Linked DNA regions of Medicago truncatula. The protein of the gene in region 2 binds, or shares a complex with, the protein of the main gene of each other region. Links are inferred from orthologs where the notes say so. Each region holds a gene or a part of one and is shown on either strand. Other genes may lie near its edges.

Region 1 (6,825 bases), on a different chromosome or scaffold from region 2:
AACCATTGTGTTAAGCTACAAGAAGTCACCTTATTTAAGGGCGGACCATCACCCTTTTACCCTATCACCAGATAAAGGAACTGTCTCCAATCGCTGCGCAGACACAATAATTAACACGTGCAGTTGGTTTGGTTTAGGATCCTGCCATTTCACCATGAGGTGCGGATATACAAATCCTTTGTCATATGACAAATAGTGAATGTAATACTAAGCTATAGCGTGGTATGCATATGGTGATTCTCAACACTATGGCTATTTGTTAACCTCTTAAGCCAACTGAGATTCACAGAGATATAACTTCCTATAGTGTCAGTTTTACATTCAAGATTCCACTCCCTTTCACTCAATGGTGCTCAAGGGCAAAATAATATCGAATAAACATTTTCCACTCCTTACTTTGTTAAGGTAAGCGAGTTATATCATTTTTTTTTTAAGAAAGCAAGTTATATCATTAGAAGTAAAAGTTGTCAGGAATCACTTATATATCGCAAGTAAATTAATAAATCGCATGACGCTACAACTTTATATATCGCAAGTAAATTAATAAATCATAACTTCACCATGTCTAAATCACTCAAAGGGGTTTAGCTCATGGTGAGATGAACTATGGAAATGGAAATGAAGATGAAGATAAATGAAAGCATAGAAAACTAAATTAATAGAATAGATAGAGTTGTCACAAGATTACACTCTTTGAAGGAATAAGGTGAGTCAAAACGTCACCAAGTAATCTACTCTAAGAACTTTAGAATCTAGCCACCATGCTCATCTATGGTAGAAGATGAGATGGAATGTGATCTCTAAAGTGTTAACCCTAACCATAACCTGGCCTCTCCAAAGTACTAAAAATACTTAAAACTATAAAATCCTAAAATAGACACTGATTAAACTATTACTTAAGTCAATGCAATCACTCAAATACTTGTCCAATATGGGGGCTAAGTGCAATGTGATAACCAACTTATTTTCCAGTTATCAATGACATTGTGGTGTCAATGTCACGTAACATTGGATAACCACAATGTGACAAGTGGTTTTCTTCTTTATCTTATATATGAATTTTTTGTTTTTTATTTTATTTTTTAAAATAAGGAAAATGTTACATAGACACCCTTTATTTCCATACACTTTTGTACATCCTATATTCTAGGAAGAGAGAAGAGGAGAGGAAAGAGAAAATGTGCTTGTGCAGGGTCCACGTGACCACATGTCAGATTTTTATGTGGATGTCCAGGGATGTATTGCCATCTAAGAGTATCTATGTATCATAACTCTTAAAATAAAGGTGACACGTGACACACTGATTAGTATTTAAAATATGCAATTGATTACATGGGTAATTTTTTCTTTGTGTAACATGGGCTTGTCATTTAAACTATTTAAAATATGTAATCGATTACTTGGCTAATTTTGTCATTTAACTATCATATTCTATTTTTTATCATGCATGTATTAAACACATGATATGATAAATGTTTATCATATCTATATCATATCATGTTTTTATCGAGTTTTATATTCTATTATGTTTTTATCGAATTTTTTCATTTAACTATAACAATAACTCGTTTCAATATTAATTTGATGATATGGTGTACCGGTACACTCGAATTTTTGAGTGTGCCGTAAAATTTGCTTTTTTTTTTTTTTTAAACTCGGCATCCGATCCAAGAATCGACTAATTCGAGGGGACCAATTACACCGCCCACTTGCGGGGGCCCCGTTTAAAGCCAGAGCAAGCTCTGTATGGACTTAGCCCACCGAAATTGGCACCAGAGGGAATCGAACCTGAGACCTCTGGAGGAGCAAAATCCAAGATCCCAAACCAACCACTAGACCAACCCCAAATGGATTTCGTAGAATTTGCCTTATTTCTTACGTAGGGACGATTGGAGATGTTATTTGCACTCAAAGAAAAACACGTAGCCATATTTAACAAAATGAAATAATATCCTGTAAAATTTATATTTGTACTCTAAATTATTTATTATATTATATGCACAAAATTCGAAACCTCACAATTGCAAAAAAAGAAGTATTATATGCACACACTTGTAACGTACACAATATCAAGTCGGCTTACATTTTCACACGGGGAGCGGTTATGGGGCATAAGGAAATCCTTATGCACCGTGCATAAATCCCAACTCATTAACCGATAGCCCAACATAATTGTTTCATACACCCCCAAGCGAAACCAAACGAAACAACACTACAACCGCGGAAATCATCATTTTAGTTCAATAATGATGATTTCAGAATGTTGATTTGGTTCAATAATAGTCACAAATGTTCTTATTATATTATGTTTTGTATAAAATTATGCTAAAACCATTTTGCTGTGAAAATGGTTTATGTGAGTTGTAATCCAAAACCGTTAGATGTATTTAATGGTTTCCAGCAGGTTAAAAAAACTAAGGACCTAGAGTCATTGCCATCATTCAGTTTTGGACTGACACAATTGGAGGAGGAGGAAAGAAATGGTTTCTGTGAGTTGTTCTCCAAAACCTTTAGATGTACTTAGTGGTTTCCAGTAGTTTCTCAGCTATAAACCCCTCCAACATCACAAAGATTTCGAATATAGTAACAACTTCAGATATGAAACCGTGAACACAAACAGTTACGAAACAGTAACATATAGCAATCAACACAACGCCACTGGATCGAAGAAGAAAACACGAGGGAGGAAGAGGAGCGAACCGGCTCAACAACAAGTGAAGCAATGAAAATTTTGTTTGTGTTTTAATCTTTAGATCTACTCCTTCTCGTTGTATTTTTGCACGATCCGAGTTCGGATTTGGCTTTAAAACGAAAATGGATGTTGGAAAATGGCTTTAGTTTTTAAAAAGGGTGAGTTTGGTTCTCCGGCACGGCGCCGCCGCCGCCTCTGGCCAGCAACCACCGCGCGTTAGAATCATCATATGTGGCCGGAAGAGATGAAGACTCATCTGAGTTCTTCGTTTTCTTTTCCAGAATGTTGAAAATTGTAGAGAGAGAGGGAGAGTTTTATATTTTAGTGAGAGAAATATTTGAAGCAAATGAAGTTTGATTTGGTGTAGTTTGAGAAGCCTTGGATTATTAAACGTGTACACTAGATTTGATGGTTGTGAAGTGTTTATGCACGGTGCATAAGGAAAATCCTTATGCACCATAACTTTTGCCTCTCACACGAGGAAGTGTCTTCTGGCATCAAACATTAATCAACTTCATTATTTTCCTTAGACAACGCTGGCTTTCTCATATACATGACTTTCACCATTGTTTTTTGTCTTCAAATTCTCAGCCAGAAACACAAGGACCAAGGATTTTGTCCGAGGATATGAAATTCCAGTTGTAACTGAATCTTTGAAAATTAGTTATATATGCATATTTATTCATTGTTTTTGTCAACTTCCATACTTTCTTCAATCCCATTGCTAGCTCTTTTTTCTCTCTTGGATCTCCCAAATGAATCAATGATCATCATTTTTATTTATTTGTATTGTTATTTTAATGAGATAAGGAGTCTGAGAATTATATATACACTACCAAAGATTTGAAATAACGAAAAAAATTAGAAACCAAAAAATTAAATTAGTCACTAAATTTAAAGACACAATTTATCCTTTTTCGTCTCTTGAACTTTTGTCGTTATTTTAAATTTTTCTAATTTTTCTAGTAATCCGAAGGAAGTCTATAGGTTTCAAATCATATATTATATGATTCTCCGTACTGTTACACGGCGAAAAAATTACATGCTCGGTTAACATACTAAAAATTAACATAACCAAACAATTGAGATATAGTAAATGAACTTCAGCAAGGATGAATCGTTCGTGAGAAAGTGAGTTCGATTCTTATGAAGAACAAAAAAAATGCTTTTTAAAGATACCCTAAATTTCCTCTAGCTCTTTTTTTTTTTTTTGTGTTCCTATCAAAGACAAAAGTGTTAGGTTAAAGTGGATATTCATTCAAGTTCAACGACGAGTAGTAGGCAAATAAACTGAGAGTTAGTATAAATAGAGATCTAATTTTGAGTTTTCTTCGCCACAACGTCTCTTGTCTCTTGATGTATTGGAAACTTGTGTGTCATGATGAGATGGTTTACAATTTTTCAATACAAAAATTGTAATTGACAGGTTTGGAATTTAGTCCTTGTATAAATTGCAATTGTGTGTGAGTTGAGAGAGAGTAAGTTTACAATTTTGTCTGAAAAAATTGTATGGGAGGATTTGCAATTTTCTTCTATAAAAAATTACATGCTGAATAATAAATATTTTGTTGAGATATGGATTTAATAATGAAGTGACAACCACATTCTTGCTAGTTATTTTTGTCTTTTTTACTTCTTTTGTGGTTATTCTTCCCCTTAGTAGAGATTTTTTATTTTCTCAAGAACTTTTAAAGAAGGGTGTTTATATTTTAGTGTCGATGATATAAGCTAGCTAAATATATATTAAAAAAAACACCTGCACAAAGTGTGGTGGTGAAGGGTAAGCAAATTTCGACATAGTTTTTTTAGTCATAAATTGCAAAAGAAAATAATAATAATTTAAAGAAAGGAAAAGAGTGTGTGTGATTTAAAACAATAGATTTACCAAAAAGACCGTAAAATAATGGAATTAGCCATATAACACGCATTAATGGATCAGTTCTTATTTCCTTTTATAATTTTTTATTACCATTATTTTATTATTTTACAACATAGTAATAACAAACAAAAACATGGTGAATGCATCACAGAAATTAATGGTAGTGTGAAAGAGAGAGAGACAGAAAAAAGAGGAACAAGAGAAGGAGAAAAACAAGTGTTTGTTTGTGTGACAAAAACAAACTACCATGGCATCCTCAAATTCACCATGTGCAGCATGCAAGTTTCTACGCCGAAAATGCCAACCAGAATGTGCATTTGCACCTTATTTTCCACCTGATCAGCCACAAAAATTTGCAAATGTTCATAGAATTTTTGGAGCAAGCAATGTTACAAAGCTTCTCAATGATTTACACCCTCACCAACGTGAAGATGCTGTGAATTCACTTGCTTATGAAGCTGAGATGCGACTTCGAGATCCTGTTTATGGTTGTGTTGGTGTAATTTCTCTCCTTCAACACCAACTTCGTCAGCTTCAGATGGATCTTTATTGTGCTAAATCCGAACTTTCTCGTTTTCAAAACTTGAGTATCGCAGCGGCAGCTACTGCCGGTCATGGACTCATAACCGGCATGACAGGTGAGTCTGTCACGGCCGCTGCAGGTAATTACCACCACACGCAAAATACTGCTGGTGGTGGTAATAACAGTAACGGCCGTGACCATCGTTATCATCAACATCATCAGTTTTTTCCAAGGGATCAACATCAACAACATAATTTGGTTAGAAATTTTGATGGTGGAATTGGGAGCAACTATGATGCTAGTCTCTTGGCTATGAATATATCTGCTAGCTTAGGACAGATCAATCAACTTCAACATCATAGTGCTGCTGGTGGTGGTGGTGACGACCGCCGTACTGTTAACCGCTCCTAGCTAGGGTTTCTAATGCTATAGGTAATAATTAATGCTTTTTATTTTTACTTTATAAATTAATGCTCTTTTTATTTAATTTTGTTCTGTCACCTATCATCACTGAATCACATAACTGCATATGAAATATGCAATCATAACATTGGAAGAGACTCTTCAATGCTTTAATTGTATGCCATTCCTCATGTAATACTATACTGCACCTAAACTAATTAATTTAGAAAATATTCTATTATAATTTGTTATGCCTAAAACTATAAAATAGACAGTTTATTTTTTTTGAAGAAGAAAATAGATAGTTAAATCCTTTAAATTATAGTGAATGAGTTTAGTATATGAATGAAACTATGAATATTTAAAATATTTTAATTCAACTATATATATTTGTGTTGTGTGTATATGTATATATAATCAAGAATTTTATTTATAATATATATTTCTTTCTCTTTTTCAAGGAGTTTTGACATTACTAGCTGGAGAGAAGATTTCAACCTTCATTCTTCATTTTTGATGGACACTCAAAGACAAATTTGTTCATCAGTCAAAGCTCGAATCGGTTTTTATTTTTATTTTTTGTTTTATATGATTACAAAATTGTAGACAGAAAAAATATATATATGACGTCTAAATGAAGTTATGAAGTAGCTGACCAATATTTTACTATTGTGATTTTACTATCTCTACAGAGAGAAGAAATAAGTGAAGGGTTCCTCTTCCTCCATGGAAAGATTATCACTATTAGCAAACAGTATATTATCTTCTTTTAATCAATTACGATGGTACATTTTTGGTCAAACATATGGTGTTAATAAGCACTACATGAGAACTGTCACTTTTAGAATTTAATTTTTATGCTCTCGGAGAGTTAATATAGATTTACATGCCCTAAATTACTTTCCATCATTTAGATATTTGTATTGCAATTTAAAAATTTATATATATATACACACACATCTGTTTGGATATTTGTCGTGTATAACAAATATTTCTATTATCGTTGTACAGAAGATAAACTTTAATTTATACTAGATATAAGTTGACGAAAAAAATGTGAATTTTGTTTGATTTCATCCCTATGTGTTAGAGACGCTAATTTAGTGACGAGTATAAATTTATAGCCATATTGATCATGTTAAAATAACAACTTCTTTCCCGTGGTTAAAGGCGTGTCTCACAACCTTTACTTTCCGCGCTATCATGACTGATGGCGGCATCCTTTACCTTGTATGAGTGTTTTATTCTAACTTATATTGTTTCTTTTGTTTTACACTATAAAACATTATTTCTCAACCATACCAATGAGTTATACTCAACAAACCTATG
Region 2 (7,389 bases):
TTGTTAGGGACAAAAGGTGCCATGGCAGGCCCAAAAAATAAATTTTACTGAATTATATACCATTTTCCATTTGCACATGTTTTCGCAGTGCCGGTGGTTAAATACCAACCAGGGCACGGTATCGATCCTGGGTGAGTAATTTTTGCAATTTTACACACCCTATCAGGGAAAATACACTTCTCTACATGATATAGTATCTCTTCCGATAATCCAACTCATGGGCCTTGTTACCAAAAACATATTTGCCAGCATGCTACAACAAAATTTAATATAATTAAGAAATTTAATGTGTATAATTTCAAATTGAGTTAGCTATTTAGGCTCCCTCAAAGAAGTGGATCGAGCTCCATCACTGCCTTTGGATATTTTAAAACCTAGAGCAATACAATTCCAATTTCCAACAATGAAAGGGCCACATTCAAGGTGTGAACTACAGCTTGTTCATGGAAAGAAACTATTTATAGTATTCTGGAAAGTCAAACATCAGAATGTAACTTAGCGGAATAAAAATATAGACCATGAGTAATCAAATTCATAATTATTTACGGCAAGTAGTCAATTTCATAATTATGATTAAAAAACAGAATTATCGATCAATTCTAATACAATCAAAAGGAAATTAATATAAATCACCTGATTTTTTCCATATCCTTGGGTGTGTTTAGGTTCTCCATGTTGTTTGGTTCGACATGAAGTGTATAGTCTGGGCCAAAATATTCATAATACTCATTATATGGCAACTTGTTACTAGGCTCCACTCCTACTGCTACGGCTGTCTAAAACAGAGAAAAGGACAAGCAGTAATTAGTAAATAACATAATAGGCGACCATGACTAAAATACATTACATATAATCCTGCACAAGTTGAGAAAGAAAGGAACCTCATAACACCAACAGCGAGCAACATTCCGTACAGTGTATCCTCCCCCACCCAAGACCATTAGAGGAACATTAAAAGACCTAAGGAAACGAAGGCAGTCTGCATGACCCTTCACAGATAAGTTGAAGCAACCCAACCTGTCACCGGACAAAGAATCAGCTCCACATTGAAGAACAACTGCATCAGGTTGATAAACATCCATGACTTTTTGCATAATGGGACGAAACAGAGCACGGAAATTCTCATCATCCATTCCATCATTCAATGGAACATTTAGAGCATAGTCCTTCCCAGGGCCCACACCAGTGTCTTTAATATGCCCAGTTCCAGGGAAGAAATCACCAAACTTATGAAAAGACACAGTCATCACTCGATCAGTAGTGTAAAATGCCTCCTCAACGCCATCTCCGTGGTGGACATCAATATCAACATACAGAACACGCTGGCCAATAACATAGTGAACAACAAGGTCAGAAAAAGAGAGAGAAAAAAAAAATGTGATAAAGACAACAAAACAACGAAAACTGACATTAACATTACTAGCATGTATCAATTCCATTTTGTTTTTATGTTTGACAAAAGGAATGAAATATAGGTCCATCAGAAATGTGGCGGGTCACTTCACTGCCACTTTAAATACACCTACTTATATATTTATATATCAAACTAGTATAGATCCAGTGCTCTTGATCGAATCCAAGAAAATGACGAAATACAGAGGTGTTAAATTCCTTTGAGTGTTAATAGGGGACAATTTTTCTTATAAAAATACAACGTGAATTCCTTTGAATGTTAATGGGGGAAAATTTTTAGTATAAAATTACAACGTGAATTGCCGCTTATAGCACGGACACTTATCATGATAACCGCTTATATATAAGCTATTTCTATAGAAAAAGATAAAATTAAAGTTAAATTGTTTTCGTATAAGCTGTTTTCAAAAGCTACCTTGGAGAATTTATGAAAATAGCTTATGAATGTTATAAGCTGTTTTCATAAGTTCTCCCAAACAATCTCACAAAATGTGTATCAATAATTAACCTCAAATAAGTCAATCCAAACAAACCCTAGGTATATGAAACAGGCCTTAGGTATGAGTCACCACTTTTATATATCCAACATTTTGGCCATTCATAATCGACGCGGACTAACTACTCACAATTTTATAGTCATGCCGCGTCCAAGATTGTCATAAACTATCTTGGAGAACAAATGAAAATAATCTGAAAACTAACAACGTCTTAAGCTATTTTCATAACTTCTCTCACACAGACTCACAACTCTTGCATATCCAATATTTTGACATATCAATGTGGGACTAATCACTCCCAATTTTATAGTCACACACGACTCAAGTCCTGTCTAAATGCAAATCTAGGGCACAAACACAAACCATGAATGTGTAAAAAAACACTTATGAGCATAATATTCATAGTTACTTAACAGAATTACAAAAAATAACATTTAACAAGGTATAAACAAAAAAAATACCCTATGAACTTTGAGAAGCTCAAGAATCCCAAGAACAATGTCATTAACATAACAAAACCCAGAAGCTTCAGCTTTCTTAGCATGATGCAACCCACCAGCCCAATTAATAGCAATATCAGCGTCACCACGATTAAGCCTAACAGCAGCACCAATAGATCCACCAGCAGAAGCCTGGCAGAACGGAAAAAGCCCGTCGAAAACAGGACAATCCTCACCTACGTTAAACCTCTTCAACTGCCGATAATGAGAGTGTGAATTATCCGAAACAATCTCCGGCGAAACGGAAGAGAGGAACTCGACGTAATCATCAGAGTGAAACCGGCGGATATCTTCCGGCGCAGCGGCGAAAGGACGGTTAATTTGCATACGACGGTGGAGAGAGTAGTGGATGATGAGATTGTGTGCCATGCGGATACGATGGGGTTTCATTGGGTGACCTTGACCGTAGTAATAATCACCGATGCTTGGTTCGTAGAAGTAGGTTACGCGACGCTTCATTGCGTCGGCGCCGATTGAAGGAAGTGATGCGCCACCGCTCTCAGCTACACCCATTTCGCCGCTGCCCATTGGAAATTCTTCTTCAGAAACCCTTCTTCTCCCTCTCGGTTTTTAATAACTCTGTGCCTTGACACTTCGCATATACGCACACTAGTGTTGGGAATAGGCCAGGCCGGCCTACAGGACCTATTGTCTGGCCAGTTTAAGTCTGTCTGTTTATTAAAAAGGTTAGGCTTAGACTTTTTAAAAAGTCTATTTAAGTAAATAGGTCAGGCTTAAGCTATCAAAAAAGTCTATGAAGCCTAATAGGTCAGCCTGTTTATGCATATTAGGCTTCATAGTGACTTTTTAAATAGGCTTTAAAACTTTATAGTGAAATAAGTTTTTAAGGCCTTATAGTGATAGACAAGTCTTACACTGAAATAGGCTTTGAGGCCTATTAAGCCTATTTAAAAGTAGATAAAATGGAATGTTTGATGACTTTAATAGTAAGTAGGCCTGTAAATAGGCTTTCAGGCCAGGCCAGACCAAAAAAATAGGCCTATGAAAGGCCATAGGCCAGGCTCAGGCCTGCAAATTTTTTCGTAGGCCAGGCTCAGGCCTATCAAAGCCTGACCTGGCCTGGCCTGGCCTAGCCTATTCCCAACCCTAACGCACACAGCTAAAGGTTTAAATTTATATATAAAATTAGACTATAATCTAAAAGGTATACGTCACACAATGTAGATAATTGAGAAGATATTTTCGATGTAAAATTATAATCTAAAACGTCTACGTAGATGTTAAAGAAGATATTTATCTACGTTGTGTGACATAGACGTTTTAGACTATAATTTTACATCGAAAATATCTTCTCAAATATCTATTTTATGTGACGTAGACGTTTTAGATTATAGCATCATCTTATATATAAATTTAAACTTTTAGCTGTGTGCATATAAGCGAAGAAAAGGTTATTAAGAACCGAGAGGGAGAAGAAAGGTTTCTGATCTACGTTTGATGTAAAATGTTTAGGCTAGAGGAAATTGATTAGGATGTTCGCAGTGTGGTTTGGTTCAGTTTTAAGACTAATAGTCATTTGAAAAACGCAAGATAAAAAAAGTATGTGGGTTGGTTTAGTTGACTTTCAAAATTAAAACCAAACCAATGTGATTTTGGTTGATTCGGTTTTTTACAAGACAAAACAATCTTTTTGTTTCCAACATTAAGTTAAAAACGACTTATCCTCAACAATGTTTCAAATTTGATCCAACACTACACTTTCATCCGACAATGTTCCATCAACGTGGACTAGATTAAAAACATGGACCAAAAAGTAACCTATTCGATAAGAAATGCAAAAGACTAATATTTTATCATTCTCTAAAAGTTTTTATTGAGTTTCTATGATTTAAAATATATCTAACATTAACTTATAAGCAAAAATGCAAGTAGAATTCAAAATATGATTAGGGTCGTAAAGTTCATTTGATGAACTGGGATATGGATTGCCAACCTAAGAATTATGGCGCAAAGTTCTTATCGGCAAGTATGATAGAAATAATGATCTTATGGTTTCTTGCAACTTTCAGCCTTTGGATTCCCCCTTGTTGAAAGCTTTAGTAGGAGTTCAAAACGATTTCCAACACAATGTTTTTAGACAACTAGGGGATGGAAGACATACAAATTTTTGACTGGATAAGTGGCTTCCTAACAGGAGCGAGCTCCCATTAGTTTTCCATAATTTCATTGATATTGCCCTTAATGTGCAAGATGTTTTGAATCAAGAGGGAGATTGGAACCTAAGTTTTTTGCATGATAAGTTACCAACCATAGAGGCATCCATACCAAAGCAAACTTGTTCAAGCATAACATCACCCTTGACCCAGTTTGCCCTCGTTGCAACCAGGCTACTGAAAGCTTAGACCATCTTTTTATGAAGTGCGATTGGGTTAAACGGGTGTGGTTCTACTCTGATCTAACTATCAATTTTGAAAACACAGATACCAATACTTTTCTAAATTGGCTAGATTACATGCTTCACAACACATAAATTGAACTCATAACACATATAACAGCGATTATCTATCACATATGGGAAGCCATAAATCTTTTAATCTTCAAAGGAATGGACATACCTGCTATGGAAGTTTGTCGCAAAGCTCAAACCGCAATCTCGAACTACAACCTCGTGAATAGGCTTCATCAACATTCAAAGACCATCAATCCTCTGGGATGAACTGCCGTAACACTGGTTGGACTCCTCCGGCGAAGGGTGACCTAAAGCTCAATGTGGATGCTCACTATTTGGGTGATGGCCATTGGGGTTTAGGTCTTATCCTCTGTCGCAAGGACGGGGACTCCGTTGTGGTAGAGACTAGGGAGATCATGTCTACGGAAGATGCAACTGATGCAGAGGCTCATGGAGTTTTTGAAGCCGTTAAGCTTATAAAAAGGATGAATCTAAGTAGGGTTGTGATTGAATAGGACAACCAGATGGTTGTCTCAAATTTAAACACCGGAAATTTCTGCAGGAAATATTGGGGGGAAATGATGAAAGAAAGTCATGCAGAGTTAAAGAAGATGAACATGATCAGTGTTAGATGGATAAGGAGATCTAGTAATCAGACAGCGCAACATATAGCTAGATGGGTCGGGTCTGAACCCAATAAAGATTGGACCCAATACTTTCCTATTTGTATAATAACACATATCCAAAAAGATATGAGTTTTATTGTTTCTCAATAATATTGTTGATTTTTAGTGTAAAAAAAATATTGTGAATCAAGTGGTTCCTTTACCAACCCCAATAGATGCAGATGACTCTGATGTTACGGGATTGGAAGCCACTGATACTCATTGGTTTACCATTTAAAGTGCTTATAGGTTCAACGTGGAGATGTTCATGTATTGGAAGGAGAATGGAAATCTATGTAGGACTGGAAAGGATCTCATCATATCCAAACTTTCATCTGGCTCTCACGTCCCAAGAGTGCATCTTTACCATCTTTATAGAAGCAAGTGGGGGATGGGCATATCTCCACTTTGTACTAGATGTGGAAGAGGAAGATGAAACTAACATTCATGTGCACCAAAATTGTGTCTATGCAACTCAAATATGGCTCTTTCTTGATCCATTTAATTTTATAATTGATTTATTTACTTTTTATTGCAGGGACCAAATTTTTAATAAGAGCTAGAAGACCATTTTCATGATAACTTGATAGTTCTTATGGACGTGGAGAAACAATGTTGTCTTTGAAAACAATTTTCACCAGTCAAACAACCTTGTCATGGTGATTCAAAACTTTATAGGAGAGATAGATATTTGCTCAACCCATCCACCTTATTGCAATCTTCAAATAAAAGAGACAATTCATATAATATGGGATAAATCCCTTGAAGGTCGGATAAAACTCAACAGTGGCGATGCTTGCAAAGGAGGTGGAGAGAATTCACGTTGTCGTGGCCTTTTTTGCCACTCTAATGGAATATGGTTAAAAGGTTACATTAGGAAGATTAGAGTGTGTGACACACTTCATGCTGAATTATAGGCCATGTATCTTGGTTTGGCTATGGCCTAGCGAGAACGTATTCTTCAATTTATTACGGAAAGTGACTCTAAAACTCTTATTAACATGGTTACCGGTAATTGTAAGTTTAGTAGAGTCATTCCAACGTTAGTGCGGTGTATTTGCAACATATTGGCTTTTGATTGGCGTGTCCATTTTAGTCACACTTGGAGGGAGGAAAACCATTATGCTGATTGGCTGACGACCTTTAGCTTTTGTTAATTTAGACTCTTTTGTTGTTACTAGATTGGAGTATACACCTAGCGATCTTCAAAGGTTTCTTTTTTATGATATTTTTGGGGCTTGTTCGCCTAGGCATGTCCAGCTAGTTGTTTGGTTTTCTCTTGGGCATTTGACCATCATTTGTATCAAATAAAAAGAATTAAATTAAAGTACATAAATACATTGTTGAAATAAAATAAAATAAAAAAACGTAGTAGAAATTTAACAAGAGAAAAAACATGTCTTAGTCAAAAAAAATAATTGAAAAAACATTTTATTTATAAAAATTTCAATTGAATTTCACTGAGTACTAGACTGTGTGACAAAAGTTTAATTAGTGTTTCTCTTGTGTTGTGATTTGTTTTGGTTTGAGTCGATTGGTAAAATAAAACCGCAAACTGAACTGTGCGGTGTTGAGTAAAAAAAATGGTCTGAATACATCCAAATTAAATACGGTTTTTAGTTTGGATTGGTTCGGTTTAAGGTTTTTTATTGGGTTGGTTCGATTTAAGGTTTTTTATTGGGTTGACTCAGTTTTGAACACCCCTAAAATTGATTTAAGAATCAATTTTGACTTGAGGAATTTTAAGTCAAGGATGTGTTGATACCTTCTAGATTGCACGAGGTTTTGATGAGTACACAAACATTGACTGACATTGATGTTAGTGTGTTGTGTGATTATGTCTCCCGCCAACATGAAAGTTGCACTATAAGTTTTTAGCTTGACTTTTCAACATGTGAAAATTC

What was found.
Region 1: histone deacetylase 6 (region 2) and protein ASYMMETRIC LEAVES 2 share a complex: the UniProt entries of both Arabidopsis thaliana proteins name them as parts of the AS1 repressor complex. The link is inferred for Medicago truncatula from reciprocal best matches to the Arabidopsis thaliana genes HDA6 and AS2.

Annotation. Positions count from the first base shown.
Region 1 is NC_053049.1:15,631,714-15,638,538, forward strand, and holds protein ASYMMETRIC LEAVES 2, read left to right. Parts: upstream 1-4,711; 5' UTR 4,712-4,818; coding exon 4,819-5,505; 3' UTR 5,506-5,526; intron 5,527-5,957; 3' UTR 5,958-6,298; downstream 6,299-6,825. UniProt on the Arabidopsis thaliana protein: Negative regulator of cell proliferation in the adaxial side of leaves. Regulates the formation of a symmetric lamina and the establishment of venation.
Region 2 is NC_053044.1:38,122,774-38,130,162, reverse strand, and holds the start of histone deacetylase 6, read right to left. Parts: upstream 3,015-7,389; 5' UTR 2,939-3,014; coding exon 2,372-2,938; intron 1,323-2,371; coding exon 882-1,322; intron 777-881; coding exon 634-776; intron 1-633. UniProt on the Arabidopsis thaliana protein: Responsible for the deacetylation of lysine residues on the N-terminal part of the core histones (H2A, H2B, H3 and H4). Might remove acetyl residues only from specific targets, such as rDNA repeats or complex transgenes.